2 linked regions of the Rhinolophus ferrumequinum genome follow. The protein of the gene in region 1 binds, or shares a complex with, the protein of each later gene. Links are inferred from orthologs where the notes say so. Each region holds a gene or a part of one and is shown on either strand. Other genes may lie near its edges.

What was found. The genes of interacting proteins can lie anywhere in the genome.
Region 2: the proteins of PI4KB (region 1) and ACBD3 are in contact, whole or in part, in an NMR structure (PDB 2N73), measured with the Homo sapiens proteins. The link is inferred for Rhinolophus ferrumequinum from reciprocal best matches to the Homo sapiens genes PI4KB and ACBD3. Residues at the interface, in NP_001317650.1 of Homo sapiens: Val37, Gly38, Val42, Ile43, Asp44, Pro45, Val47, Ala48, Gln49, Lys50, Ala51, Cys52, Glu54, Val55, Leu56, Val59, Lys60, His63; in NP_073572.2 of Homo sapiens: Gln245, Ile246, Ala249, Leu250, Gln253, Thr254, Gln257, Phe258, Tyr261, Gln265, Tyr266, Leu276, Leu280, Gln283, His284, Gln287, Tyr288, Gln291, Leu292, Val295.

Annotation. Positions count from the first base shown.
Region 1 is NC_046305.1:51,330,273-51,337,760, forward strand, and holds the start of PI4KB (phosphatidylinositol 4-kinase beta), read right to left. Parts: upstream 3,001-7,488; 5' UTR 2,561-3,000; intron 1-2,560. UniProt on the Homo sapiens protein: Phosphorylates phosphatidylinositol (PI) in the first committed step in the production of the second messenger inositol-1,4,5,-trisphosphate (PIP). May regulate Golgi disintegration/reorganization during mitosis, possibly via its phosphorylation.
Region 2 is NC_046310.1:14,191,802-14,199,344, forward strand, and holds the start of ACBD3 (Golgi resident protein GCP60), read right to left. Parts: upstream 3,002-7,543; 5' UTR 2,942-3,001; coding exon 2,656-2,941; intron 1-2,655. UniProt on the Homo sapiens protein: Involved in the maintenance of Golgi structure by interacting with giantin, affecting protein transport between the endoplasmic reticulum and Golgi. Involved in hormone-induced steroid biosynthesis in testicular Leydig cells.

The sequences.
Region 1 (7,488 bases):
AGTCCCAAAGTCTATCTCCAACCTCGCTCATCTTTCCCCCTCGACCTCAGTGGTGACGATGGAGATTGAGTACCACTTTTTTCTTGGAGAAACACAGGGCCAAGCAGTCAAGCAGGCTCAGGCCCTGCCGGGAACCAGGTAATTGTACCCAAAGCACCAAGGGGGGTTGACACCAGGAGAGAGGGCATTCTCAACTACCAGCAGGAGGGTAGGGAGGGCAGTGGTCTCAGGATAGTTAAGTCAATATTGAATTAGGCTGAGAATTCTCTGTGCAAGGCCATCGAGCTGGTATAAGCAGATTCCAGCCAGACAGCCCAAGCCAGCTCTGGGAGCCTCTGCTGAAACAGACAGATGACAAAGCAACCTGTCGGCTCACCTCTGTCTGAACTGTTCCTCCCTACTGCAAGCCCCAAATGCACTTGGACTAGGCCCTCTCTTGTCCCCTGCCAGGTACGGAAAGATTTCTTCCAGACTTCCTCCCCAAATCAAAGAATCTCAATTCGCTGCTTTGGATAGTGTCCAGCAAACATGTTCTCCTGTGGTGTGGACCCAGCTCTGAGAAGGCAGCGGGGGAACTAGGGAAATATGATTTCTCTTTGGGGGTGCTTCCAAGGAGCGAAGCTGCTCCTAAAAAGGGGGGTTCTGAGTAGACTACGCTCTGGCCAACTAGGAAGGGCAAGTGAGATGAGGCAGTGGGATTACTTTCAAACAGGCCCCGAGTCAGATGATGAATGGAACTTCACACGCCCTCTTCGCCAGCGCAGGCCGAGAGACAGACACGGCGTACGAGGGAGCAACTGGTTTCCTAAGTCCCATCTCACTCCAGAGTTCTCTTTTCCAGCCAGCTTCCTCAAAGGGCTTGCCCACAAACATACTTCCACCTATGGAATCTGGAGTTATGGGTCAAGTGCAAGAGGAACGGAACAGCACCTTAAGGCAGTGGGAAGAAAGAAGCAGGCCTGGAGCTTGTCTTTCAAACTGACTTACGCCCATGGCTATAGACTAGAATGACCCAACAGAGGGACCAGAACGAAGGAGAATTCTCAGGATAACTAAACCACCACTAATAAATACTTTTCGTCTGAGAAACCCAGAGTGTGTTGTAAACAAACAAACAGTCTAATTTTACCCCCACCCCACACCCTGCTATTAGCCAATTATTGCACTGATGCCTAGAGAGTGGACCATTTTCCCAAAAAGGTCACTGTAGAGGTCAAGCGTGCAAGTCACACGTTGGACCCAGGAGTCCTGATTCTGAATGTACAAGCTCTTTCCCTTGTTTCCTGATCCTTTTTCCAGTGACCCACCCCCCAACCCCACCCCAGCCCTAAGCTCTCAGGGAATCAACCAAAACCATTCTAGTAAGCTGATTCCTCTTGCATCTGGCCAGAGGTGGGAGGACCCTCTATTCTGTGACCCCTTTAAGACAAGCCTAACATTACATAATCCAAAAGGAAATTTCTCACAACCTCACTTAGTTTCCATGCAGGACATTTCCCCTCCACTAGTGACTGATTCTGAGTAGACAACAAAGTGTAATCTGATCGGGGACTTCTTCAAAACCTGCTCCATCCTTCAGAAACACTCTTCTGTCCAGGAAAGCCTGAATGACACAGCTAGGCTCCCCGTCCTCCCAACACATTTTCTTCTTAGTTCAAGGTTTAGCTGATCCTGAAATGAGTTGTACATGGAGATAAAAGAGTGTGACAGAAAGAATACAGACAGACCACGGGGAAAACAGAACCCAGTGTCCCATGGATCAGCAAAGTTCTCGAAACTCGACGGAGAAAGTGTCAAAGTTGGAAGTGCTGAACGGGAAGGGGTGCTGTTGTATCTTCTCACTTCTATAGGGACAAACCTCCAGAGGTCGGGGGATTAGGGAGGGATAAAGGGAAGCCAAAGCAAGTTCCAGGGGTCATAAAGAACTCCAGAGAAGAGGAGCAAGGATGAAAGTCAAAGTAGAATGCGAAGGATACGTTGGGAATGACGCTGAGATCCTTTAAGGAGAGGGGAATAGGCAATTCTTGGAAGTGAGGAGCTTGGTGGGGGGCGGTGAGGTCATGGAATCCGAAGCAGCAGAGGAAGAGAGGGCCCCAGTCTTTAGCTCAGGGAAATGGGAACTCTGCGCGGAGGCTGCAGAGACACTGGAAGAAAGGGGCAAAATAGGAAAAGGGGTAAAGGCGGAGGTCATGGGAAAGGTTTGGGGCAGGAGCACCGACGACGAGGAAGGACAACCAAGAATGGACATTCTAAGAGGTGTCCTGATGTGCAAAGAGTTCGTGACTTAAGGAAAAATAATTCGGGACGGAGGCAGCAGGGATAAGAGTGAGGGAGGGGGGAATCCCCGGGGCAGAGGGAGGAGCTAAACAGAAGAGGAAGCCAAAAGGCACAGGAGGACCCCAGGCTTGAATGGACACGGTGGAGAAGGACCCGGGGTGCAGCTGCCACCGGGAGGGCAGTTTTGTAGTCGAATCCAGGTGTGGGGGCGGGGGGGAGCCGTGCGGGACACGGTGGGAGAGGGACCCACACGAGGGGGACTCCCGGGGTAGGAGTCGCTTACCTCCGGGGGACCTCCGCGGAGGGGGTGCGGGCGGTCGGGGTCGGGCTGCCGACACCGCCGCCTCAGCAGCAGCGGCCGCTCCCGGGTTCCATTGGCCGCCTGCGCTTCCCTGACAGCGGCCGCGGCGGCTGCACCAGGCCCCGGCTGCGGGGCTGCCCTCGGCAGCGCCTGAAGGGGCCTTCGCGCTGTCTCAAGTTCGACCGGGCCGCACAGCCTTCTCTTCCTCTCTCCGCACAACCACGACCAAAAAAAAAAAAAAAAGAAAGAAAGAAAAATATAAATCCCCAGCAGGGCTCGATTCTTCTGAGTCCAAGCCCTTCTTCTTGGGATATGCTTTCGTGCTCCTCCGACGCTCAGGACCCTGCCGAGCCCATAGTAATCTAAGGAGGCGGGTGAGCTGCCCGGAACATGCCTGTTCAGAAATAGAAAAGGGGGCGGGGAAGATGGTTGGAAACTGGGGAGGGAGTGGCGTACGAGGGGAGGATCCTACGTGTGAGAGGCGGGGCCAATGTTTGGGAGGCGGGCCTAAGAGAGTTTGCGAGGCTAAGGAAGCCGAAAGGGAAGTGAAATTTGCTGGATAAGGGGCTAGGGCTCCCGTCCTCGAACAGAGTGCGGTAGGTGGGCGTGGGTGCCCTGTTAGAAGTACGGATATATAGGGTACTTCTATAAGTACATGCAAATTATATGTAAATAAGTCCGTTTGAGTTACCTACAGAGTTACCGCAATTGCAGTCAGTGGCTTTCCCCCGCACCCCTATTCCACACGACTCCCTTAGTAATTTATCAGGCCGTAGAATGGACGTTGGGGGCCCAGCGGGGAGAGGAGGAAGAGAGAGGGTGGGCGGGGAAGATAGTCACCCTCACTACCCTTTTCCTATTCACTTAAAGGACGATGCCGTGATTACGTCCCTTATCGCTTCGGGAATGGCGCGGTCCAACCACGTCAATCTTTCGCCGTTAGCGGTGCGACTCGAGGCCGCGGTTCTGCCTCAGAGGTCACCACCTGTCTGGGCAGCCTTTGGCCTCCAGCCTTTGGATTTCGATCCCTCCAGGGAGGGGCAGGACCGGGCCAGGTAGGGAGAAGTGAGTGAAATGATAAAAGCCTGGACGGCACAACCCTTCCTTCCAAACGACATCACGTACAATTAAACAAATAAAAACGCACCCTGCAAATGGACCTCTGGTGCTGGTTTGTGTATTTGCCAGTTCGCATTATTGATTGGGAGCTCTGTCAGTCAGAACCTCTGTCCTAATGTAACCTCTGTCCCAACCTTCGCAGGGCTTTATTTAATATTTTACATTGAGGTTAGTTATTTGAGCCCAGATCTTGGATGCCACCTTCCCTGAGGCTGATTTGGGGTGACTGATTTCACTTCTTTGCACCTAAGTTTCTATGTCTGAAAAGTGGGCCCGGGAATCTTAACACTTTACAGGGTTTTGGGAGGATTAAAATACAGATTAGTACTATGTATAGTACTATATTACTATTATTGAGACAATAATATAGATGATGAAAAGAGGGTAACTGCTTCAGTTTCATTGGGAGGCAGAATAAAGGTAATAGTATGAAAATAGCTGTGTAAAACACGTCATATGTGCAAAAGTAAAACAAATAGGGTACCTAATTGCTGAAGGAACATAGAGGAGTATGGTTATTTAATCCAGAAGGCCCAGCCACTCAGTATATGGCGAATGAGTGAATGAAAGGCTTCTCAAAAATATTGTGAGCTAGGTCTTAGGAGATTTATTGGATATGATCCAGCAGAACAAAATAAAAAGAGGAGAGGCTTAAAAACTGTATGCTGAAGAGTAGAAATGGGAATTTGCTCAAATCAAGAGGAGAGGGCAAGCTGATAAGCTAGGTTAAAGCAGGAGTACAGTAATGAAAGATGAGCTGAGAAAGAGGCCAAGAGTGCCAAAGATAGTTTAAATTTGTCACCACCCATCTGGAGTGGGGAGTCACCAGTCCACCTGTCAGGACCAGCAGCTCTTGGCCACCTCCCAATCAGCTGTCAGGCAAGTATCAAGAGGTGATGGCCCTGCTTTAGCCTAGTTTAAAAATGTCACTCATACATCCTCTCCAGGGGTAGGGTTCCAAAGGGCCATAAGACCAGCTTTTTGAAACATTGTAAAAAGGGATGTGACAGCCCTGCTTTTTATAGTAGGAAGTTTATTTTCCAATGACAAAAAAAAGAAAAAACAAAAACATTTCAGGAACATCTCTGGTCAAACTTTAAATAGCAACTTCTTATAGCTATAGGCAGTTATAAGTCCTTTGTTAACAGAGACCCCCCTCCCATACATAGAGTATTAAGTAGAAGAGTTTCTTTCAAGTGTTGTGTTTCTAGCTCTAAGAGTTCATATGTGTGAATTTCTTTGTATGTCTTTATGACTTTTGTCTTTCTGACTTAACTTTTGTGTTTTGGTTACTCTCTGTTTCTACGAGTCTCCCAGGCCCTCTATTCTGATCTCCTCAAGGCAAGAAAGGATTCATCTTTGTATTTTAACTGTACCTTTAGTTTCTGCCACAGGTCAAAGTTTATTTTGTTGATATAGCACCAGGAAAGTACCAACAGGGTCAGGTAATGTCATTTATCTTATTTACATTTCATCAAATTGGAGAAAGAAGTTGGCTTATGCATCAAAAGCTCGTAAAACTAGAGGACCCAAGTCAGAATACGGCTCCAGTTATATTTTAAACATCCCTGTGGTTAAAGAAATTATAAAAAATGATTTTTTTCCCATGGGTTTTTTTTTATTAGAAAAAAAGAAGCTAGCAGTTATTACTCAAGCTCCTACTGTGTATGAATATGAGGTGTGATCAAAAAATACAGTGAGTGTTTATATTTTAAAAAATTTTGATAGTGAAAGATCCATTGCCATTAATGCCCCTCAAAATACTTCTCCTTGCTTCAAACACACACATCCCATCATTCTTGCCACTTTCTGAAGCAATTCTGGAAGTCCTTTTTCATGAGTGTATTGTTGTGCTACCGTGGCTGCCTCGATGTCCTGAATCGATTCAAAACATTTACTTTTCATGGTCATTTTGACTTTGGGGAAGAGCCAGAAGTCACATGGTGCCAGATCTGGTGAATAAGGTGAATGAGGACACACCGCAATGTTTTTATTTGACAGAAATTGCTGTACCAAAGCAATGTGTGACACGGAGCCTTTCCGTTGTGATAACAAAATACGATGAATGCTGCTGCCCAGTGCCATCCAACGGAAAGGCAGGGATCTTCAATACGGGAAGCGGTGTGTGGAACCTTAGTAACAGTGAGTGACAAGTTTCAACTTGTTCGGTGCAGTCAGTCGGGTGTGAGCTACAGTTGAGAGAAGGTGTGTTGTATAGTGTGCCATAAATCATCCTCCATCATGACAATGCTCCGTGTCACACATCACTTCTGGTTTGGCAATTTCTGTCAAAAACATTACGATGTGTCCTCATCCACCTTATTCACCAGATCTGTTACTGTACAACTTCTGGCTCTTCCCCAATGTCAAAATGATTCAGGACATTGAGGCAGCCACGACAGTGCAACTAAAGACACTCACAAAAGAGGACTTCCAGAACTGCTTCAGAAAGTGGCAAGAACAATGCGATAAGTGTGTTCGAGGCGAGGGGGAATGTTTTGAGGAGAATTAATGGCAATGTGTCTTTTACTATAATGAATTTTTTTTAATTTAAACATTCACCAGATTGTTTGATCACACCTTGTACAAACATTACTTCATTTAACCCTGTGAAAGAGATTTTATCACATTTTATGGAAACTGAGCTCAGAATAGTTAAGACATTGTCTTTCAAAATTTTTTTACTTCAACCCATAAGAAATACCTTTTATATCATGACCACTGAAGAACACATAGACATGTCTTCACTGAGATAAGTTTCATGAAACAATACTTACCCTTACTATATGCAAAGCACTGGTATTTTCTATTCCATCTCACTTTTTAAAAATAGTTTTAAAAATAGTTTTCAATAGTTTTCAATAGCTAAATCAGTTTCACAACCTACTAATGGGTTGCAATCTACAGTTTGAAAAAAAACTGGACTAAATAAATGTTCAAAATCATATGGAAAGTGGTCAAGCTAAGACTGACACCAAATTCATGCTCTTTCCAGTAAACAAATGCCTCCTTGTGAACATTTAAGAAATACTGCATTACATGTATATTATACTTAGCTTTATCTCATTGTATGGAGCCAGCAGGAATATCCTAGGCAAAGGAGTAGACCTACTAGGAACTGTAACATGAGATGAAACACTTAGACAAATATATAGTGACATTAATTTGCCCATTTAATGTGAATGTGGCATTTGCTTTGATTTCTAAAGAAAGTTGATTGTTATCCACAAAAATAAGCCATAAATTCATTTATTTGGGACCACAGACTAGACATATAGTTTGTCTTGGTTTAATAGCAAAATATTATTTCAGATTTTAGTAAATTATAAATTATGCTTAACTTCATTTATGATAGGGCTAAAATAAAAGAAGATGACACGGGGTGGGGAGGTAATAGAAGTGGGGAACAGGGTATTGGGGACAGAATAAGGAATGGCAGAGGAGCAGTAGACCGTCTCCAAAATCTTAGTTTAGCCCTTCATCTAATGAGCTAAAGATTGCCTGAATTACAGCATAACTTGTTTCACGTTAGATTTTAAAAATAGAGTAAGTTTTTAAATAGGCTATAACATTCACATAAACGCCATACATTCGCCATAACATTCACGTAAATCTCAAAGTCATCCAGTGCCGTTCTCCCAAAGTGAATGGAAACATCCCCATCACCCCATCACAGTGAGGACAGTACTTCCTTGGGTGCTTCTATCCTATCACCAGTGGTTTATTTTCCCATATGCCCATCACCTCTAATGTGTCAGCTGTCTGGTCTAGTCCCTCATCTCTTCCTACCG
Region 2 (7,543 bases), on another chromosome or scaffold:
TGGTAATCTAATATAAAATTTTATCCACCATAAGGACTCAACAATGTCTAAAGTTTAGATGATGAAATGCCAACTGGTATTTGTCCGTATTTTCACCTATTATTTTACTTTCATAAAATAAAGAGGGTAGGTAGTTGACATGATGGGTTCAATCACTGGCCTGTAACCACTATGACAGGGACAGAATGAAAAACAGGGTTCCTGATTCCCATCCAAGTTATTTTCCATGGAAAAAAGATATCCATACTTTCAAGATTCATATTTATTCCACAGTGGAAAATAAAGTGTAATGTTAAGTCTAATTCTTGTGAGATACGAATACAGAACTGCAAAATAGTGATCTATTAGAATTAGAAGTCCTGACAAGACTGATAAAAATGCCAAGTATTACACTGGAAAATTCACACATTAAAACAAAAGCAGCAACATATTTCTCATCCCACCTCCCCTAATTCTTCTGACTGCTTTCAGATCCTTCCTTCCCCCGCGCCCCAATTAGGCATCTCATGTACTAATAGCCTCTTCATTGCTAACTCTGCAATGATCCATGCAGAAAGGTAGCTTTTAATTGTTACACTGCTATTTCTTCTTTTCAGTATGTGGATAATGCTTTGAAAGCTTAATTTAGGAACTGACTGAACCATACCTATCAATGCAGCTGTTTTTTCCTCTAAAGTGACTGATGACTAGGACCCCAAACTACAGATTCCCCTAGGAGTCCCACCACTCAGCAAAATATTAGGTTTAGACCACTAAATATTAAATATGAGACATCAAATCTCATTTAATCCATATATATATATATATTAATATGTATGTATACATATGAAGACCGAATGTGGAAGAGGAAAGTTCATTGTCTAGTTTACCAATAGAATCCAGGGCTTCCTGACCCAAAACTAAATTTACTGTACATCATACTGTTTTAATCTTTCAAAGAACATATACTACTATTTTCAAATAAGACAGGCTCAGAAGGTAAAATTACCATTTATTTTTTGTTAGTCACGTGACAAACGCCAGGATTAGAAGTCGGTCTTTTCTATTCTTACACACTATTCTGCTACAATATACTCCAACTTTACTAAACCCTGGAAAAATAAGTTCTAAGAATAAAAATTTAAGGTAAAATGTAGTTATATGAATTGTACAGAAACCACCACGTTTTTATATAAGCAATATCACCACAGGAAACTCTAAATTCAAGGGTCAAGTGACCCAAAACCCATTAGCCATATCCAATTCCCCAAGCTAGCTAGTGCACAGAGGGCTGAACTCATTGTGCAATGACAATTATTTCAAGAGCAAACTTTTTAACACAAAGTATAATGAATGTGGAATGATCAACTGTTCTGGAAATTTTGTAGACGAGAGACTTTCATTACTCTGCACAATTAAAGTTATTTTGAGAAACAGCAAATAATTTTTGCATGCATCACTACCCTGTTTCCCCGAAAATAAGACCTAGCCAGACAATCAGCTCTAATGCATCTTCTGGAGCAAAAATTAATATAAGACCCGGTGTTATGTTATGTTATATTGTGTTAGACCGGGTCTTACAGTAAAATAAGACGGGTCTTATATTAATTTTTGCTCCAAAAGACACATTAGAGCTGATTGCCTGGCTAGGTCTTATTTTGGGGGAAACACGGTACACAGAACGACTCAAATTCATCTAGTAAAATATGTACTCCAAAAGGTACTCCCTCTGGGATGTGTCATAAATATGATGTTCTGGAATGTATATGGAACCTCGCAACCATTTCTAAAGTTTCATTTGCCAGGCTCATGAGCACTAAATATCTCTAAGAATCAAACTAACGGACTTTTGGTCAGTCTTTCCCACTGACTGGTATCATGTGACTGTTACCACCACCATTTGACTAAGTGAATCAACCACCCAAGTAAAAATCCCACACACCACAATCTTGCTCTAAGACAAGAGACATTTTAACAGCTTATTCTGCAAGAAGCACAAGGGTACTTTTAACTCTTATTCTGAGAATTCGCTCTTGGCACATGGCTTACAAGGTAAAATTTTAACCATCCAGAAGTTACTAGAACATAGCTGGCATCCCTTCTCTTAAGAGTTTGACAAGCCAGAGGAGGATGTGTTAGCTTGATACTTGACTTCCTTCTGCCACATCAATACTGCCAGGTGAGCAAGTCCTATTCGAGTTTATGGTTCCCCGGAATGACTGGAAAGGGTACGTACGGAGCCTAGGAAAAGATTCCTTCCACTACGGGAAAAGGTTATAAATCGGTGGGGCGTGATGTGCCAAGCTATTGAAAACATGAAAAGGAATGTGACGGTCAAAAAATTCCAGAATGGGATCCGATAAGAAAGAGAGGACTCATTCTTCCACCACGGCCGGTGGAAACCCGAGAAGCTAAATCAGGTAAAATGCCCTGGTAACCTCAGGGAGGCGGGACTCGGACGGCAACACCAAGGTTCCCGGCCCCGCAGGGGTGTGACCCAGTGGCCCAGCAGGTAGTGACAAACTTCGGGGACCCCCAAGGACGGAGCCCGGCTCCCGCGGCCGCGGCCCAGTACGGGTGGGTGAGGTGAGACTGGTTCAGTCCCCTTAGGGGCCACATTCCGGGCCGGGCTCCCGGGCCCGGCGGCGGCGGCGGGGCGGAGCCGGTCCCGCTCACCTTTGAAAAAGCGCAGCGCCAGGCCGTACAGCTCCTCCAGGCCGAAGCCCCAGTGCTGCTCCAGCCGCCGCGCCTCCTCCGCCGCGCCCCCAGCCGTCGCCTCCCCGGGCTCCGGGTGCTCGCCGGCGGCGCCCGGGCTCCGGCCGGCCCCGGGAGGAGAGGGCGGTGGCAGCGGCGGCGGCAACAGCGGGGCGCCCTCTGCACCGGGCCGCTCCTCCGAGTCCGGGCTTAGCGTGAGGCCGTCGACGGAGACCTCGAGTCGCTCCGCGTTCAGCACCGCCGCCATCTCCGGCTGCTGTGCCTCCTCAGCGGGGACAGGCGGCGGCCACGTATCGACTTCCTGCTGACCTCTGACCTCCACTGATCGACACCGGAACTTCCGGTGCCGAGAAGGCTCCAAGGCTCCTAGAAAGGGGTTGAGGCCTAGTGCCCCGCCCCTTCAACACCAGCAGTTGTGTCCTGTGTCCAACCGCCCGTCACTCCCCCCAGTTCCCGGGGGTCCTGAGCGCCCTGCCTCCGTTCCCACCTCATCCCCTCGGGTGGGGAGGGTGTGTTACGCCCCCTGCCCGGTCCGCACCGTCCCCGCCCCTCGGCTCTGTCCCGCTGGTATTGCTGTCTCGGAGGGCGTGGGGGGGTATTGCTGTCTCGGAGGGCGGAGAAGCCGCGCGTGTGGTCTGTGCAGGCCTGGTGACTACAGGCAAGCTCCCTACCCTCCAGGTCAAAGACCCTTCCCATTTGCAGAGTTTGGCTCTCAAAACTCTACCCCACCAGTTTTCATATGGTCTTCCCAGCAACTCCGGAAATGCCCGACAAATACCTTTTTTTTGGAAAAAAACTGAGGCTGCAGAGAAATTCAGTGGCTTCTCTGAGGTGGTTGGAAACCGGCAAATCCAGGTTTTGAGGGAATGCAAGCTCAAACAACTGCTGGGACCCTCATTAAGAAAAAAATACCAAATATTAGGAGCGGAAAGTTAGGTATGGAAATGAATATTTAGAATGTGAAAGAAGTCACAAATGACATTTTGAAAAGTTAATAAAACCCACAAACACACATAACCATAACATTCTTATTAACTGCCCGACACACTTCTACAGGGCATCCGAAAGTCCAGAAACATAATTTATTTTACTTTTTTAAAGATAAGCATATTCACCTGTGTTTCTAGATGACTTTATGGACACCATTTATGATCATTTTCCCCACGTTTTTGGTTGCGTACTTTTGATCACCTTTTCCTATGACAATTATTTTGTAATATTTTCTATTAAGATAGATCAGTCTTTTTTAGCGTGGTGATCACAAATTAGGGTTTTTTATTATGGTTTATAAGTTTCAGCTTCACAACTCATTACTGACATTAGCGTGCACTTTTTTAGGTTTATTGTCAAATTTGGGGAAACCGTATCAAGTTTCTCTCACATGTGAGCTATAATATTTCAGGGTTGTTTTGCTGCTTTAATGGCAATTTTGTATATGGTTTTTCCGGCTCCCTTGTGTTTTACCGGACAAGATTTATCTGCTACGTTAAGAGGAGATCTGATCCATTAAGATGCAAAAAAAAAAATGTGACTTCACATATAGATACTCACTGTGGTTCAACTACATAAACTCAGGAATTCTAATATATTTCATTTAGCATGATTCACATAAAAACAAAAATAAGTATGGGGCATTTATAATTGTAGATACGAGTTTGACATTACTAGGTAGACTCCTGATGAGTGAGAACCTCCATTTTAGGTTAAGCAGTTTAGAGTAGGCATTGAGGTAATTGATTCCCGCCACTTACAAGTTTTTACTTCTGATGGTTGGAAGGATTTTCTAGGGACTAATTTCTCCTTTTCTTTCAAATAGTGTTTCTCCTCCACCACTCGTATATTTCCTGTGCCGGGCATCACAGAGTGTCTTTGCCATCTGGCGCTCACCTTTGTGACATGGTACTGGCTGAGTTGGCATAATGGGCACTAGGTGTATTCCAGAAAGCCATTCCCACACCCATGGTGAGCAATAATTTCACAGTATGCGGAAATGACTGCAAACCACATAAATGCATGCCTCTAAACCCAAATTAAATGTATCCCTAATTCAATCATTGTCCCCTTAGCCAGATCCTAAAAATGCCCGTAGCCATTCCTACACCACCTAACACAGAGGAGCAACGATGGAAGGAAGTCAGAATGCCACGAGACAATGGTCTTAAACATCTTACTTTAGAAACTTTTACAGAAACATTTGACCAGGTGAATATATTGCTAGTGCTCATTCAAGGGCCTTGGAAAGGGCCTAGGTAAGTGAGGGACCTGGAAGCTTAAGTTTCATTAACTTATGGTAAACTGACTTCTATAGTTGAAGGGGACTCAAAACTCATTCTATTACTCCAAGCCAAGTGGTTTCTTTTTTTCTACTTAGCGGGGATCCTTAGCTTTAGCTTTAATTACTTTAAAAATATGCATATTACAAGGCCTAACCTCTAGAAAGTCATAAATATCTTACCTTGCTGTGTCTAGCTCTGTGTACTACCGTTAGTATTCAATAACTTTTGAGGTGATAATGAGATTGGTAAACACAACTCTATTTCATGCTGTTACAGATGCTGTTTTTCAAGTTTTCTATAGAAAGCGTTTCTTTTGTCAGCAGAAAAAGACATTTTTAAAAACAGTATAAATATTAAAACCTATAGAATACACCTGGGAAGACGGACAGGTAAAATATGATAAACTTATCATTACTGACATTTTTTATTGTTTTGGAATTTAACACATTGAATATTCTTGAAAAATCTATACATCTAGATCAAACATTTAAACTTCTTCCTAACAGAACTATCAAGGAATGTCCTGTAGGTAGTTAATTGCTCTTTGTGACCTAAAAAAGATTAGTGAATATAACTTCCCTTTAACAATTCATTGTAGGAAATGAGTTCCAGACATTCGTGAAAATAAGAGGTCCAAACTTCGGTGTGCGTGAGAATCACCTAACGATCGTACTAAACTGCAGATTCTGATTCAGGAGAGAGGCCCAAGAGTCTGCATTTCTTATAAGCATTCTGGGTGGCAGCTGCTGTCTACAGAACACATTTTTGTTTGTAAGTGTGTTTTTCCATGTTTTCTGTCCTGTGTTAGGGACTGGACACGAGCTCTAAGTCAAGTAGTTGTTTCAATCTAGTTGCAGAGGGCGCAGCTAACAGGGCCCATGTGGGGGTCAAACTGGCAACCTTGTTGTTAAGAGCACCCCACTCGAACAAACTGAGCTAACCGGCCACCCCTACAGAACACACTTTGCATAGCAAGAGTCTAGGAAATTTTTGACAACTTTATTGAGATACAATTGATATCCAATAAACTGCAAATACTCAAAGTTTACAATTTGATAGGTTTTGACATATGCTTATACCTATAAAACCATTACCACAATCAAGATAGCAAACACATCCATCAACCCTTCTGTAATCCCTCTCTGCCCCAAGACTTTCAATAGACATTTGTTATAATGTGTTGTCACAATAGAATCTGACTTCTATAACCAGTTCAGAGAAACTACCTGTATTTCCATACTCCTATCTTTTATTGTGAGGAAGTACAGAGTTAGTAAGAAGTATTTTCTGAAACCTTTCAAATATCTTCCCCAAGTCTGTTCCTATACAAAAGAGAGTACTTTTCAACCAACCATCTTTGTCACATGCATTTCAGTTAAGTTTCTTTCCATTCAATCATTTGTCAGATGAAGTGTTACCATTTCTGAAGTGCTCTCTGAAGTTTCTTCCCTAAAATCAACCTTTCCCTTCATTCTCTCCACACATTTTTACCTTTGTGAAATACTGTTAGATCACCAGAGACTGGGTTTAATTATACGTTTCCTGCTTTATGTGGTGAATTAATAATTGATACTTAGTAAAATGTTGCAGTTAGTTTTATTTAGTAATGCAGTACACTCTAGTAGTGATAATTGTTTTGTGTTCCTAGGGCAAAGGCCATGTCCCTGGACTCCCACAGTCCCTAACACAGGACAGAAAACATGGTAGGCACTCAGAAGGTTTTACTGAGTGAATGAATGAAGGTATATTCACATCTATAACATGCAGTATCATTTCAGCTCAATGTACACGTAAGGAGTGCCTCGTACTCTGAATGTTTTACTGAGTGAATGAATGAAGGTATATTCACATCTGTAACATGCAGTATAATTTCAGCTCAATGTAAGGAGTGCCAGACACTGTAGGAAACCCAAAGGTGGGTGTCTGTGGTATCTAAAATGCAGGAATCACGGTCCAGTAGGTGAGACTATGTGAGAAGCACTGTGTTAGGGCCCGGCTGCCAGAATTGGAATGCACTTGCTTTGAGCGGGTTACTTAACTTCCATTTCCTCCTTTGTGAAATGGGGATAATACAGTATCTCCCCTTAGGCTGTTGAGAAGACTGGATGTGGAAATACATGTAAAGCACTTTGAAAAGGACTGCCTGGCACACAGTGAACTATTAATAAACGTTGGCCACTGTTCATAGACAAAGTTCCAATAAAATGTAGAAGAAAGTTTGCACACTGGATGCTCACAGGATAAAGCCTGCCCACTAATGTCTTTTACTTGGCTTACAGTGCTTTAAATCTCGATTGGTTGCTAGCATTTTAAAATCTGGAATTGTAATGTAAAAAAAAAAAATCCAGATTTCTGACTTACATTAAAAATTAAGAAATTTGGTGACACTGGGCCTGGCAGTGGTCTAGACAACAGTGAGCTAGAGCTATGTAGAGGCTTCCTTGAGGACAGACATGTGCGCTCAAGTTTGCAACAAATCCCCAGCCTATAGTCCTTGCTATTTATCATGGGCCATTGATCAGTTTACACCAAACTGTCTATTTATAGTGCTACCTGCCTGGCCATTGGAGCTA